Ovis aries: one gene and its partner. Each later gene encodes a partner of the first gene's protein in a complex. Links are inferred from orthologs where the notes say so. Each region holds a gene or a part of one and is shown on either strand. Other genes may lie near its edges.

Region 1 (6,954 bases):
CAGCATTCTGTTCCGAGGCCACCCAGAGGAGAGACCCCTCTGGGCAGGCGCTCCCAGGAGCTCCGCAGGAGGAGCCATGTGTAGGCGTGGCAGAGGCTGGGCAGAACTGGAGGCCGCCTTCCAAGAAGAGGGGTGGGGGCGCCTGAGACAGGCGGGAGAGAATGGTGTCTTCCTCCAGCAATCAGGTCTGGGATTCAGAGGCTGAAGTCCCAGCCAGACAACCTCGCTTGCCTTGATCGCCCTCCCCTTCCCCACTCTCCTCTGCCCGGCTGGGGGTGGAGTGGGGAGGGGGCTGACTCAGGCCCAGCTGCAGGGCCAGAGGAAGGAGAAGTGGCAAGGAGGAAAAGATAGCTTCACCGCAGTGGCTGCTGGAGATGGAAGTGGCCAGGAGAGGAAAAGGAATCCTTCCTGGTGCTGTTTCTGTCCTTTGAGTTGGAAAGGCAGCCACAGGCAGGGCTTGAATCCTCTGACACTCAGGAAATCCTCCTGTCCCATTTCAGACTATCCGCTATAACTCTACCATGGCCGTCCTGACATTTGCCTGTAGTCTCTCGTTCTGAATCAGAACCTGGAAGTTCTTCCTTAGGTCTAACTGCAATCTCTCCCTCCAAACTACCGTCTGGACGTTCTTCCTGATGGCTACCTAGGAGGCTTCAGTCACAGGCCGCCCTCCTCCCAGCACCCACTTGAGCTCCCCCCACCTCGAGGAGGGTGCCCCATGGAGGAGCCCAGCTGCTAAACAACACAGCCCAGCTGGCCTCCATGCCCCACGAGTGACCGGAAAGAGAGTTGGACTGCTGACCCGAGGCCTCGGTGTTCTCCAACGCTCCACCCCAGCTTCCACTTTCCACCTAAACTCTGTCTTCCATCAGCACTTCTCGTGGGCACCCCCTGGCATCATGCCCCCATGCAGCTGCCACCCTGGGCAGGAACGAGAGCGGCAGCCACTTCCCCGAAGTTCAGGCTCTGCCACCGGCCGGCTGGTTGGAGCAGCATGGAGAGCCTGAGTGGGTGCGCCAGCTGCTCACTGTTGTGTGTGCGGGGTCTCTCTCCATCTGTCCTTTAACTTTGTAAAGTCTGACGCATCACTCATCTGCATCAAGCCTAGGAGGTTTCTCCTGGCACGGAGAGAATTCACTCAGTGACTGGCTGCCCTCAAGACTTTCCTGCCTTCAGAACTGTGCCCGCTCGCCTCCAGCCACGTGGCACCTCCAGTGCCTCAGCCTCTCCAGAGCCTTAGCACCTCCACACCCCTGTCCCCCCACTGCTCCCCTGGCCGGCATCCTCTCACCTCCACACCCCTGTCCCCCCGCTGCTCCCCTGGCCGGCACCCTCTCACCTCCCTGGGGGCCCTCCCTGACTTGTCTTCCAATGTCCCCAGCTCCCTCTGTCCTCTCGCCCTGCTGTATTGTCTCCATCGAGCCATCTGAAAATCTATTTTTTTCTACACTTTGTATTTGTAGTCCTATGTATGTATGTATTTGAGTGGAATGCCTGTCTTAGCCACTAGAATGCAAACTCCAGGGGACAGGAACTCTGTTTTGTTCAACTCTGAATCATTGATGCCTGAAACAAATATGTGCTCCGTGAAATATTTAGATGGGAGTAATACCCAGCCTTAAAAGGGGAGGAAATGTTGATATAGGCAACCACATAGGTGAACCTTGAAGACGTCATGCTGAGTGAGACGAGACAGTCACAAAGGGACAGATTCTGCATGATTCCAATTAAATCAGGTACCTGGGACGGTCAGATGCACGAGATAAGTGGAAGGTGGGAATGGGGAGCTGTTGTTTAGTGAAGGCAGTTTCAGCTTTTCAAGATGGAAAGAGTTCTGGAGATTCGTTGCGCAACAGTGTGAATGTACGTACCACCACCGAGCGGTATACTGAGAAATGGTTGACTTGGTGAATTTCGTTATATGTATCTCACCACAAGTGAAAATAAAATAGCTGATACTTGGATGGGGGGGTGGATGTGTGAACGGACCTATAGTTTCACCCTCCCTCCTAGCTCAGGAATTACCAAATTATCAGAGCTGTCAAGACCCTCAGACATGGTCCTAAATCTTCCAATATACAGCTAGGGAAACTGAGGCCTGGCGAATGGATGGTCCCTTGGTAAGGCCAAGCCAGACAAGGACTGGGCTCTTGGTACCATAGGTGTGGGGTGGCATGGCCCCTGTCGCCAAATTGCGGGCCACACACCCACCTCCTTGCGCTGTGCGGTGGGACCGCCCAGCCCCTGTCCTCCTGGGTCGGGATGATGTCCCAGACCCACCTGGCAGGCCCGGCTGACCTTCCTCCCCTTCCTCTTCCCCTTCCCCGCCCCCTACAGAAGCCCAAGTACCAGGTGCGCTGGAAGATCATCGAGAGCTATGAAGGCAACAGCTACACCTTCATCGACCCCACCCAGCTGCCCTACAATGAGAAGTGGGAGTTCCCCCGGAACAACCTGCAGTTTGGTGAGCCGGGGTCTCTGCACCCCCCACGCCCTCCTGTCACAGGGCCGGAGTGGGTGGCGGGGAGCCTGCGGGCCCTTAGAGGGAGGCCCGTCTGGCACCCCAGGACCTGAGAAGGCTGTGCGTGTGTGTGTGCCAGGTAAGACCCTCGGAGCCGGAGCCTTTGGGAAGGTGGTAGAGGCCACGGCTTTTGGTCTGGGCAAGGAAGATGCTGTCCTGAAGGTGGCTGTGAAGATGCTGAAGTGTGAGTGCAGGAGGGCTCGGGGGTGGGGGAGCGGGTAGGAGGCGGCGGACACCACCGGGACGGTCTGTCCTGTGGTCACGGGGCATCGCCCGCATTTTCGGCCTGTCAGAGCCTGGGATCGGGCGTGAAGCCGCTCTGTTTCCTTTGTGAGCTCCAGGCTCTCTCTTATCCTGGGTGTGGAAGGGCTTCTGACTGAAGCCCAAAGGGGCTGGGATGAGAGGCCGCCCTGGGCTCTGGCTGGGCCCCAGCTTGGCCCAAACCAGTTCAGTGACACGCCACCTCTTCTCTCTCCCCCAACTCTCATCTGTATGCCATTGACTCTGCCTCTTTCGGCTTCTGATTACCGTGGGTGCTCCGGGTGCCCCCTGCTTTGCTCCGTGTCTCCTGTGTGTGGCCCTCCACGTCCTGCCCTTTCTCTGTGGCCCCACCTCCCAGCCACGGCGCACGCTGACGAGAAGGAAGCCCTCATGTCAGAGCTGAAGATCATGAGCCACCTGGGCCAGCACGAGAACATAGTCAACCTCCTGGGAGCCTGTACCCACGGAGGTGAGGGGCCCTGGCAGGCATGGCGGGGCCATGATCTGGAGTGTCTGAGGGCCCCAGGGCCTCACGCCATCCATCTTCCCCTTCCCATCCCCACAAAGTGAAGGTAGGATCCCTGTCTGGGCACCCCTTGAATTCCTAGGCCAGACGCCTGGACTGGTCAGAAGCTGCTTGTGGATGACAGGCAGTTCTGGGAGCTCTGGCCAGTGGCTCTCAGACATGTGGGGACATCAGAGTCACCTGGAAAAGGAGCAAAGAATGCAGATCTCTGGGCCCCACTCCAGAGAGTCTGATGCTGTGGGTCTGGAGTGAGGCCCTTCAAACCTAACTTTAAGCCCCGACTCAAAGAGGCTGGGCACTCACTGCAGGGCCCATAGAAGTGTCCCAGGACCCATGGGGATTCAGCCCACCCCATTCTCTTCTCCTATAGCAACTGTGACTTATATGGAACTGCCTTAGTTTTCCTTTGAAGAAAGAATTCTTCAGCTAGTTTTTTGGAGGGCCCTCTGCTCTAGACAGATGTGGTCACTGAGGCCCAGAAAGCATGGAGGGCTGCTTACAGACAAGCAGGATAAGAACCTGTGACAGAGTCACAGCCCAGGTTCTTATTGCCCTTTCCCCACATTCTTGTCCAGGTGGGGTGGTGGATTAAGGGTGCACTGACCCCACTCTTGTGGCTGCTCTAGGCCCTGTCCTTGTCATCACGGAGTATTGTTGCTATGGTGACCTGCTCAACTTTCTGCGAAGGAAGGCTGAGGCCATGCTGGGACCCAGCCTGAGTCCAGGCCAGGATCCCGAGGCAGGCACCGGCTACAAGAACATCCACTTGGAAAAGAAATACATCCGCAGGTAGTATCCTGGCAAAGGCCCGGACTGGGAGGTGGGGCCCTGTGTCTATTCCCAAAGTCAGCTCAGGGTTGGGTGGCTGTGTGGGCTTCACCTTCCCGCCCGTGCTATGGGGAGTAGCCGCCAGTATTATGTGGGCACTTTAGTTTGTCTCCTACTTATTCCTATTGTCCAAGGAATATTTGATCCCCTACTATGTTCCGGGAGGATAGCGGGCAGAGATAGGCAGCTCACAGTCTGGTGGAGTCAGGTGTTAATGAATCATTTTATCGTGCATATAAGATCTATTTAGGGCCCTAACTAGAGACGGGCAAGTCTTGGGGATAATGGCCCTATTTCTCCCATAGCACCCATCCCAATTTTGAGTAGCCATGGGGAAGCGGGATAGAGTCTGTTCCTTGTTGGATGAGAAGGCATCATCCAACACAAAGTATCACAGCATAGCTGTGGCCAGGTCCTTGGTCCACTTGGGCCTGTTTCCCCAAGAAGCCATCCAGGCTGAGCCTCTGAGTCTCTGCTCTCTCACTCTGAAATGCTGTGATTTCTGGAAGCCACCCAGAGGGAGGGGGACAGAGCCACATGGGGAACCACAGAGAGGAAGTGGCATTTTGTGTCACACATGAGTCAGGGGCAGAGGCGGAGCCTGGTTGGGCCCTGCTGCTGCCACCTCGTCCAGTGCTCACCTAAGCCACGCCGCTCTCCTGCATGCCTTGGACTCAGGGCCTGTGAGGCCTCTGGGCCAGGCTGCTGGGAGCTGCAGCAGGATCAGGAGAGGGTATACACTGAGCTATTTTACCACTGTCAGCTACCCAGCCTGGGAGAAGGGGAAGGAGACCATGCCACTCTATCCAGTGACCTCGAGCACGCAGGCTGGCAGGATCTGCTTCCTCTTCGGAGTTTCTGACACCCTTTGGAGAGGGTGGCTCATGCTGGGCCTCAGCAGGCTGGGAACTCAGGCCAGATCAACTTGAAATGAGAACAGAAGTCAAGTGTTAGCTTCCATTTTCACGATTTCAAGAGCAAGTGGCATGTGGACCAATCCTGCTAATGGGATCCCAGGCTACATTAATAGAAGTATAGTTTCTAGACCACAGGAGAGAATAGTTTTTCGATGGTCAGACCATAAATAAAACACTGGATTGTTTTTCTGGGAACACTAGAGTAAGGACGTCATCACGGTGCACATCTCTATCACAGCAGGGGGCAGGAGGTGAGAGGTCCAGGCTCCTATCTGGTTGAAATATTAGAAGCTACCCAATCTTAACAGCTACCCAGAGCACAAGCTCATGGTCTTCTGAGAGCTGTTAGGAATGTACAATCTAAGGCCCCTCCAGACTTGCAGAGTCTGAACCTGCGTTCAAATAAGATTCTCCAGGTGATTCACACACACATGCATTAGTTTAAGAAGCTCTAGATCAGGCGTCCACTCTGGCTGCACACCAGAATTGCCTAGAGAAAACTGCTAAGTGTGTATCTGGAGCTTCAGGGTGAAGCCAGAAGGGAGAGACACAGTGCAGACAAGTGGACTCAACAGAAGGGGCCCTGGCGTAAGATCAAATCCTTGCTGGGCATTCCAGGAAAGAGGGAGACACTTCTTGAGGGCAGAGCAAGGACCAGGAGGAGGGACAGCCCGGGGCCAGACTAGCATCAGGAACAGTGGAGGACCTTCTAACAGGCAGAGCTGACAAAGACGCAACAAGCTGTAAGCTTCCTTACTGGACGGCCAGGCAGAGGTCGCTGATCACTTGAGAGAGTGGGTCAGAAACTGAAGTCCAAGTTGACTCAGGGCCCTTCCTCTCTGCTGAGTGGCTGGGCGAGGCCTGAGCTGGGCAGCAGAAATAATGGGCCCCTCTCCTATGCAGGGACAGCGGCTTCTCCAGCCAGGGTGTGGACACCTACGTGGAGATGAGACCTGTGTCCACTTCTTCGTCAAATGACTCATTCTCTGAACAAGGTGTGAGGAGGTGCCGGGGCTGAGGGAGAGGAAAGGGGTTGCTGGGGTCAATGCAGGGCAGGGAGGTCAGCGGGGCCATCCTAATGCCTCTACCCGCCCTAGACCTGGACAAGGAGGACGGGCGGCCACTGGAGCTGCGTGACCTGCTCCACTTCTCGAGCCAGGTGGCCCAAGGCATGGCCTTTCTTGCTTCCAAGAATGTAAGTCTCAGAAAATGGGTCCCTCTCTGTGGTCACCCAGGGGGGTGGGGGCAGCTGAACCCGTGAGGCTAGATGGGTGAGGACACGGGAGAGAGAATGGAGTTTGTGAAGGGGGCCATGCTCCTCACAGCACAGACTGGCTCTGCCACTTGCTGTGTGGCTTTGAGCAACTGCCGAACCTCTCCGAGCCCAGGTTTCTACACCTATAAAGACATGCAATCGTAGGATGGCATGAGGGTAAGATAGGGTTACGGTGTGCGCAGATACTTAGGGGAGGGCCAGCCCTGAGGGTGGCAGCCGCTTGTCCTGTTAGCAGCTCCAGACCACCCAGCTTCTGAGGCGGCTCCTGCTGCTCTCAGCCAGAGGGCCAGTCACGGCGGTTTCTCAACACTGCCTGTCTGACCACATGACATTTTCTCCAACTTGGGTCATGGTACTGGAGCCAGGGTACAGGAGCAAATATGACGGCCACTGCCTCATCCGCCAAGCCCTCTGCGGCCCTGGCTGCTGCCCCTGCACCCTGGGGGGCCAGGACTGACCCTCAGTGCCTTCCCAGTGCATCCATCGGGACGTGGCGGCCAGAAACGTGCTGCTGACCAGCGGCCACGTGGCCAAGATTGGGGACTTCGGTCTGGCTCGGGACATCATGAATGACTCCAACTACATCGTTAAGGGCAACGTGAGTGCTGGGAAGGCTGGGGAGGGG
Region 2 (7,704 bases), on another chromosome or scaffold:
ATTCAGAAAACTAATATCATGGCATCCAGTCCCCTCACTTCATGGGAAATAGATGGGGAAACAGTGGAAACAGTGGCTGGCTTAATTTTTCTGGTTTCCAAAATCACTGCAGATTGCAGCCATGAAATTAAAAGACGCTTACTCCTTGGAAGGAAAGTTATGACCAACCTATACAGCAAATTAAAAAGCAGAGACATGACTTTGCCAACAAAGGTCTGTCTAGTCAAGGCTATGGTTTTTTCAGTAGTCATGTATGGATGTGAGAGTTGGACTATAAAGAAAGCTGAGCACTGAAGAATTGATGCTTTTGAACTGTGGTGTTGGAGAAGACTCTTGAGAATCCCTTGGACTGCAAGGAGATCCAACCAGTCCATCCTAAAGGAGATCAGTCGTGGGTGTTCATTGGTAGGACTCATGTTGAAGCTGAAACTCCAATACTTTGGCCACCTGCTGCGAAGAGTTGACTCATTAGAAAGACCCTGATGCTGGGCGAGATTAGGGGCAGGAGGAGAAGGGGACAACAGAGGATGAGATGGTTGGATGGTATCACCAACTCAATGGACATGGGTTTGGGTGGACTCCAGGAGTTGGTGATGGACAGGGAGGCCTGGAGTGCTGCAATTCATGGGGTCGCAAAGAGTCGGACATGACCGGGCGACTGAACTAAACTGAACTGAAGAAAACAAGAGGTTTATCTCGGCACATCACTTACTCCAACCTCTTATCAGTCCTAAGAACAAGTGGTGTCAACATGTTATCTATCTTAAATCATTTTGTACTGGGACCACTTGACAATGCCCAGGGGAAGTAAGGCCTTAGCCTCCTTCCTCTGGCTGGGCTCAGGCTCAGGCCTTCCTTCCTCAGGTCTCTGTGCATCCACGGCTGCCCCACGCCCTTTAAGCTCTGACTACTCCCAAACCCATGAAAGCAGAGATATGCCGACATGTCCATCGTCACATTCCCAGGTGTAGCCCAGTGCCCAGCACGTAGTAGCCACATGGTGCACATTTGTCAAATGAATGAATTATTCTCTAATGGCTTCATGTAATTCAGTCACTATCGACTGGGTACCAAGTGTGTGCTGGGCACCTTCAATTTAGAGGTAAACACAAGACAAGCTACAGTTTTTCCAGGAGTCATGTATGGATGTGAGAGATGTACCATAAAGAAAGCTGACCGCCAAAGAATTGATGCTTTTGAACTGTGGTGTTGGAGAAGACTCTTGAGAGTCCCTTGGACTGCAAGGAGATCCAACCAGTCCATTCTAAAGGTAATCAGTCTTGAATATTCATTGGAAGTACTGACACTGAAGCTGAAGCTCCAATACTTGGGACACCTGATGCCAAGAACTGACTCATGGGAAAAGACCCTGATGCTGGGAAAGACTGAAGGCAGGAGGAGAAGGGGACTACAAAGGATGAGAAGGTTGGGTGGCATCACCAATTCGATGGACATGAGTTTGAGCAAACTCTGGGAGATGGTGAAGGACAGGGAAGGCTGGCATGCTGCAGTCCATGGGGTTGCAAAGAATCGGACATGACTGAACTGAACTGAAATACAGGACCAGCTTGGAGGAAGTCTCAGTCACAGTGGGGCTGAAGCTTCAGTCTGATGCTCCAGAATATAGCTATCAGCATCCCTTGAAACACTTTTAGAATACTGTGGACAATGAATGAATGACAATTTATCAGAGAAACTACAGAGAAAGGAGCCAAATTCAGTGAGACCACAGGGACGGGAATCATTGATCTGCCTGAGTAGTCAAAAAAGGCTCTGCTGGTGAAGGATGTGGTCTGACTCCAGCCTTGACAGATGAGGTGTTTGCCTTAAGCACAAGTTGGGAAAGGAGCATTGTAAACAGAGGCACCAGTATTAATAAGAGCAAGCAGTTATAAAATTACTAATAGGGGCTGGAATAAGTGACAGGAGATGCCCCTTCCAGACATGTATTTCCCAGGGGATGGGGATGGGTGGAGCCACAGAGAGACTGAAACATTGAACCCTAGGAACTGAAGAAAGAAAAAGCTCTTGAATTTGACTTTATGATTAACAGGCTCGTCCTATTTAGCCTCATTTAGATTCATTCTCATATAGAGACAAAATGAGCTTAATCATTTCAGTAAATCCATTTTCAAAAGCATCAGGGAACTGTAGGGCTTGGGTGCCAATCTCCCCAGGTCTGAGGCTCAGGAGGGATCCTGGGTTCCAGCCAGCGTTTTCATCACCTGCAGGTCAGGTGTGGGAAGCATCTCCTGGGACACAGCAGAGTGTCCCAGTCCCTGTCACAGGACACAATTCATCCCCTTCTGGTCAGGTAGTAGCCTCTCTGCCTGTACCCTGCCCCCAGAAGAGAAGACAGAGGCTGGACGGGCGCTTTGGGGGCTGCATAAGGAGAGGGCTGCCCCCAAACCTGCTGACTAAGGCTCCACAAGGTGCCACAGCAAGCGCAGTCGGTCTCCAGTGTTCGCCCCTGCTCTCAGGCCATTTCCTGCTCAGATTTGGGAATTTTCAGACCCAGAGGGAAAGTCCCTTGAGACACATATTAGAACGAGAGAGAGAGCGCGCGCACCGGATCCGCCTGGAGAGCGCGGAAGGAAAGACCAGGCTCTGTCCAAAATCCGCGCGCTGGAGGGCGGGAGGCGGCGGAGCCCGCGTTACTTTCTTGAAGGCTTTGGCTTTGAGCGCAGCACACAGGGCGACTGGAAGACAAACGGAGAAGACCGGCCCGCTGGGTGGGGGCGGGGAGGCGTTCAGTGGGCCTCCGGAGTGTGTGTGTCTGTCAGTGCGCCCGCGCCTGTGTGTGTGCGTGTGTGTGTGTGTCTGGCGCCTGTCCAAGGTGATTTCCCATAAAGCACATGCCTCACAAGTCCGCTTAAAAGGCTGTGCCGAGGAGCTGGCCAGTGGAGCCCGGCTCGGGGAAAGTGAAAGTTTGTCTGGGTGCTCCGCGCGCCGCCGCGAGTCCCCCTACACTCCCAGGTCAGCAGCGCGGCCCTCGGCCAGGGCGCGGACTCTGCAGCGGCCAGCGATCAAGACAGCGAGCGGCAGAGCGAGGGCGGCCGACGCGCCCGGCCGGGACCCAGCTGCCCGTATGACCGCGCGGGGCGCCGCCGGGCGCTGCCCTCCCACGGTAAGCGATCGCCGCGGGGCCGGGCCCGGGCCGGGCTGGGACTGGAGCTTGGCGGCGCAGCCGGGCTCCTCGGAGCCCACTGCCCAGCGCGCGCCGACTGCAGAGGCTCTTCCGTCTCCCGGCACCGGGCCCATCTTTGCACGCCGACTGCGCGAGGCCCCTCTTGCGCTGGGGCTGGGACCAGAAGCGGCCCTGCAGCTGCTCCTGGGGCTGCGGCACCTCTTTGGGGAAGGGAAGACTGCTTACCCCATTGCAGGGAGAGGCACACGGAGCCACCTGCGGGCAAAGGAGAAGGGTTTGCAGTCAAGGGACAGAAGCTCCGTCCTAGACTCTCTCCACCGCCAAGGGACAGGCAGAATGGCTGTGCGCCTGAGGGTGGCGCCTGCCCAGTGGGCATTCCACACGGGCCATACGCATGCTTCTAGGTCCTGCTGGGGAGTGGGCGCTTCTGAATGGGGAAAGTTCAGGTGCCATCCAACTTAGAGAATGCAAGGCAGAAGGAAGGAGCTGGGCAAGCCACTACTTGTTCCAGCTCACAGACAGGAGCTGTTGGGCACTTGGGTGGCTGGATCAAGTCCGTTTTGTGGGGGATGGGGGTACCAGAGTTGCCTGGTGCCAGCTCTGGATCTTCCTGCAGATTCAGGTTCAGTCAGTCGGGGAGCTCCTGGGCTTGATGATGGTAAAGGAGGTGGAAGGAAGGTTTGGGGTTGCAGAACTGTGGGCAGGAGCTGCGGGCGGTTCACCACTGCCCTGCTCTAACCATGGGCTGTAGCTGGGGCAGCTGCTAGATGGTGCAGAGTGACTCCATTAATGGACAGTAAGGCAAACCCTGCCAGTGGGTTTGCTTCTGAGGAATTCTAGAGGAGAAACCTGGTGGGGGGTGGGGGGATGGGGGCAGCGAGAGAAGCAGAAAAATATTCCGAGGATAAGGGAGGGAGGTTGCAAGTAGGGTGATAGGGACAAGCCCTTCCATGAGGAGGAAGAGCCAGCTGAAAGAGATGAGATGGGGTTAGGAGGGGAAGTCAGGAAGGGTGAGGTGAGGGCAACAAGACAAATAGGGGCTGGAAGTGAGACGGTGAGGAAAGAAGAGGAAGGTAAGCATGGAAGGAAAGAGGCTGATTTTAGACCCTCAGCCTGAGGGTCCACTCATGCTAAGGTCTCTCCAGGGACCATTTTGCCAGGGAATTTGGGACATGGTGAGAAGCAGGTGAGGATGGGTGGCTGGGCTGAGATGTCTCAGAGTCTCTCTGAGCCTGAAGCAGAGATTCCTAGGGCTGCCCCAGAGGCCAAAGCTGGTGGGTGGGAAGAAGAAAGGAGGGGGGAGAAGAGCCAGCCCAGCCAGACACAAGCTAGAGTGTTAACCCTTGGGTACCTGTGCAGCTCCTCCTCTCAGGCCACGTCAAGGCCCCAGGTGCAGGGGTGGTCCCCTTTGGCCACCTTCAAAGCCAGCCTCCCACATGGTGGCTGTACACTCCCCACACTGATGCTTGAAATAACTGCAGAAGCCAGGCAGCCCTTGGGGTTAAGCATTGCCCCCTCCTGGCTGCCCTCAAACATCAATATCTTAACTCGTCTGTGACAAGGCTATCTTCCTGAGCATCCCCTTCCCCATGGACCCTTTCCTCCAAACCACTGACACCTGAGGCTTGGAGCCTCAGGGGCAACCAGCCTGGGGCAGAGACATACCTTCTGCATGGCCCAGTATCCTCCCGTGGGTCCTGAAGTGCAGGTTCCTGAGGGCTGGCACAGCCATTCCCACCCAGAACTCCCTCTTTAACCACCCAACAGAGCCCAGTGTTCCCTCCATGACTCTTTTCCCTCTTCCACAGTCTGCCTCGCCCAGGTCGGACCAGGACCCTCACCAGACCCTGGTGCTGAACAGCACTGGGCCATCCCGAGCCTCTTTCCTCCAGGCCCCCCTTCCCCCTCCTCTCTCTGCCATCAACTCCCCCCCTACCCCCCCCCACCTCTCTACCCACCCCCCCACCCCCCCATCTTTGAAGGTCTTACTGTGGCTTCTCCTCCCCGCAACCTCCCTGGAGCTCAGCCAGGGCTTCTCCTCCCTGGTAAGAGCTGACAAACATTTTAGGCTTTTAGTTCTATGTAAATCAGCATGTTGTTATGGGCTGCTTCACAGCCTCCAGTGTGCTATTTGTTTGCGCTATTTGTCTCAGCATCTGAATTAAAAGGCAGAGCCCAGAACCCAGGAAGGTACCAGCCTACACCCCACCCTGACAGCATTTCCCCCAATGTGCCAGGAGGCGACATCCAGCTTGGGAGAGACAGCCCAAGAGTCTTTCTTTGCCTCTGGCTGGAGAAGGGGGTACCTAGAGCCAGGGAGAGGGCTAAGGGGACCTTAGCAAGAAGGAGGAAAGTGGAATGACAGGGTGTCAGGAGCTCATCCATCACTCTGGGGACGAGCAGCTACTGGGTCAGGGGGGTGCTGAAAGAGGGGAGAGATCTCAGAAAATGTTCTTGCAATGATAAGAGCTGTCAGGCTGGATGCAGAGCCTGATGGGGCTCCAATAGGTAGGTGCCAGCCAGGGATGGTCTAAAGTTGGCACTGCTGCCTCTGATTAATCAGTTGGGCTCTTCTTGACACAAAGCCCTAGGGCTCCAAAGGTCTGTGATGCGGGATAGGTTCCCAGTGAAACTGAGTTTGGGCCCCTGGTTTTTCCATTAGCAGAGCCAGACACATGCGGAATCAGGTAGGAGGAAGGGCTGGGCCCAGAGAGATGTCTCTGGCTCCAAGTGTGGAAGCCAGCCAGTGTAGGAACATGAACTTGAGAGGAGTGGGCAGCTCCCAAGATGTCTGGCTCAGTGTTTGACGTTGCAGAGTCAGAATAATGGGTAGAAGCAAGTCCTGCATTCGAGGAGTTTCCTATGTGACTGGCATTTAGACTGGCAGGCACAACTCCCATGTCCTCATTAGAAATTCAGTGTAGAGTGGCTTGGCCTGGGTTAATCTGGGAAAGCTTCTTGGAGGAGGTGACATTTGTGTTGTTATCAAGGGAGAGCAGGGTTGTGTGTGGTTCTTAGGAAATCTTGATGAAGGTGACTTTGGGAATGCTGTATTCTGGGATGAGAGGCCGAGCCTGTAGCACTGTAGGTCTGAGGTCCTTGTTTTTCCATCCTCAGCAGGGGAGGGTGGTTCCTGGGGAGTGTGAGAGAGCTGGGGAGAAATGATGCCCTCTCTATCGCAGACATGGCTGGGCCGTCTGCTGCTGCTGGCCTGTCTCCTGGTGAGCAGTGGTGCTACTGAGGAGGTGTCGGAGAACTGTAGCCACATGATTGGGAACGGACACCTGCTGTTCCTGCAGCAGCTGGTGAGTGTGTGGCCCTGACTACCCCAGCTTCTCCCCACTGGGGAAACGGAGGCAGGGAACAGGGCCAAAGAGAGGGGTTGTAGGCAGAGGAGAGGAGAACGGCGGTGCAGGATGTGGCTTGTGGCTCCCACTAGCTCCACAGATGTTCTTCTCATTGACCTTCTAAAGGTCAATGCTTCTGACCCCTCACCCACCCCAATCCTAAAGCCCTCTCCAGCTCTCCTGCAGGCAGGGCACAGGGTAGGCTTCTAGCTGGTTGCCTGGGTTAATGATGGCCTCGAATGTCCATCAAGGACTCTGAAAAGGCTTGTAAAGCCTGCTCCCCCTTGATGGGATGCTTCCCTCGAGGAGCCAGCCCAGTCGGCCTCTGTGTCCAAATGTTGCCTCTAGCTCCTGGACTCCCAGATGTGCCACCAGCCTGGCACCAGGGCCTCAGCCAGATTTGGAAGGGAGACTCCCAGCTGACTCCCGGCCCTATCCCGACACTTCCCTGGCTCTTGCCCGAACCCTGGGGCTGGGATGGCCTGCTCACCCAGGCCTTGAAAGAACCCATGCCTCACCCTCATCAGGCCAGCAGAGATGTCAACAATTCCTAGCATGGTTCAGTTCAGTTCAGTTCAGTCTCTCAGTCGTGTCCAACTCTTTGCGACCCGCCAATTGCAATATACCAGGCCTCCCTGTCCATCACCAACTCCCGGAGTTCACCCAACCGGCAGAATCAGGTTGCTATCATGACTGCTGTCCTGCTCAGAAGAGAATTTGCCACCCCTCTGGCCAGGAAGGCAGGGTGGAACCCCACTGGCTAAGGTCAGCTCCAGGGCCTTGAGTTTGGGGCCTGTGGGCTGGCCCCCTGTCTCACTTGCCCCCTGTGCTTTTCCTCCTGTATGTAGCTGCTGTAGCAATACAAAGTTGACCAAGAATCGCTGCATTCTTTGAGGCTCAGAATCACAGAACCACAGCTCTGAAGGGCAGCAGCAGCTATAAGGGCATCTAGCCCCAGTCCGTATATATCCTGAATTCCTAGAGCTTGTCTAACCTCTGCTTAAATTCCTCCCAGGACAAGGAGCTCACTACTCCCCACAGGAGATTGTGTCCTCTATCTTGCATTAGACAGTTCTTCCTTATAATAAACTGGCATCTGTCAGACTTCATAAAGTAGGAGGTATAAGACAGAGACTTCTTGTTCTTCTCCAGCCCTCCCCTGGCCATATGGAAGTCACAAGTCTTCCCCTAGCCTTAGCTCTGTCATCT

What was found.
Region 2: the proteins of CSF1R (region 1) and CSF1 are in contact, whole or in part, in a crystal structure (PDB 3EJJ), measured with the Mus musculus proteins. The link is inferred for Ovis aries from reciprocal best matches to the Homo sapiens genes CSF1R and CSF1. Residues at the interface, in NP_001032948.2 of Mus musculus: Arg142, Arg146, Leu149, Arg150, Lys151, Lys168, Val169, Leu170, Ser172, Asn173, Val231, Gly232, Phe233, Leu248, Ser250, Asp251, Phe252, Asp254, Asn255, Tyr257, Lys259; in NP_001107002.1 of Mus musculus: His38, His41, Met42, Gly44, Asn45, Gly46, His47, Phe87, Gln90, Asp91, Asp94, Arg98, Asp101, Glu110, Arg111, Gln113, Glu114, Leu115, Asn117.

Annotation. Positions count from the first base shown.
Region 1 is NC_056058.1:59,154,873-59,161,826, reverse strand, and holds part of CSF1R (macrophage colony-stimulating factor 1 receptor), read left to right. Parts: intron 1-2,337; coding exon 2,338-2,464; intron 2,465-2,600; coding exon 2,601-2,705; intron 2,706-3,140; coding exon 3,141-3,251; intron 3,252-3,934; coding exon 3,935-4,097; intron 4,098-5,956; coding exon 5,957-6,048; intron 6,049-6,150; coding exon 6,151-6,248; intron 6,249-6,804; coding exon 6,805-6,927; intron 6,928-6,954. UniProt on the Homo sapiens protein: Tyrosine-protein kinase that acts as a cell-surface receptor for CSF1 and IL34 and plays an essential role in the regulation of survival, proliferation and differentiation of hematopoietic precursor cells, especially mononuclear phagocytes, such as macrophages and monocytes.
Region 2 is NC_056054.1:87,228,737-87,236,440, forward strand, and holds the start of CSF1 (macrophage colony-stimulating factor 1), read left to right. Parts: upstream 1-2,874; 5' UTR 2,875-3,088; coding exon 3,089-3,127; intron 3,128-6,330; coding exon 6,331-6,453; intron 6,454-7,704. UniProt on the Homo sapiens protein: Cytokine that plays an essential role in the regulation of survival, proliferation and differentiation of hematopoietic precursor cells, especially mononuclear phagocytes, such as macrophages and monocytes.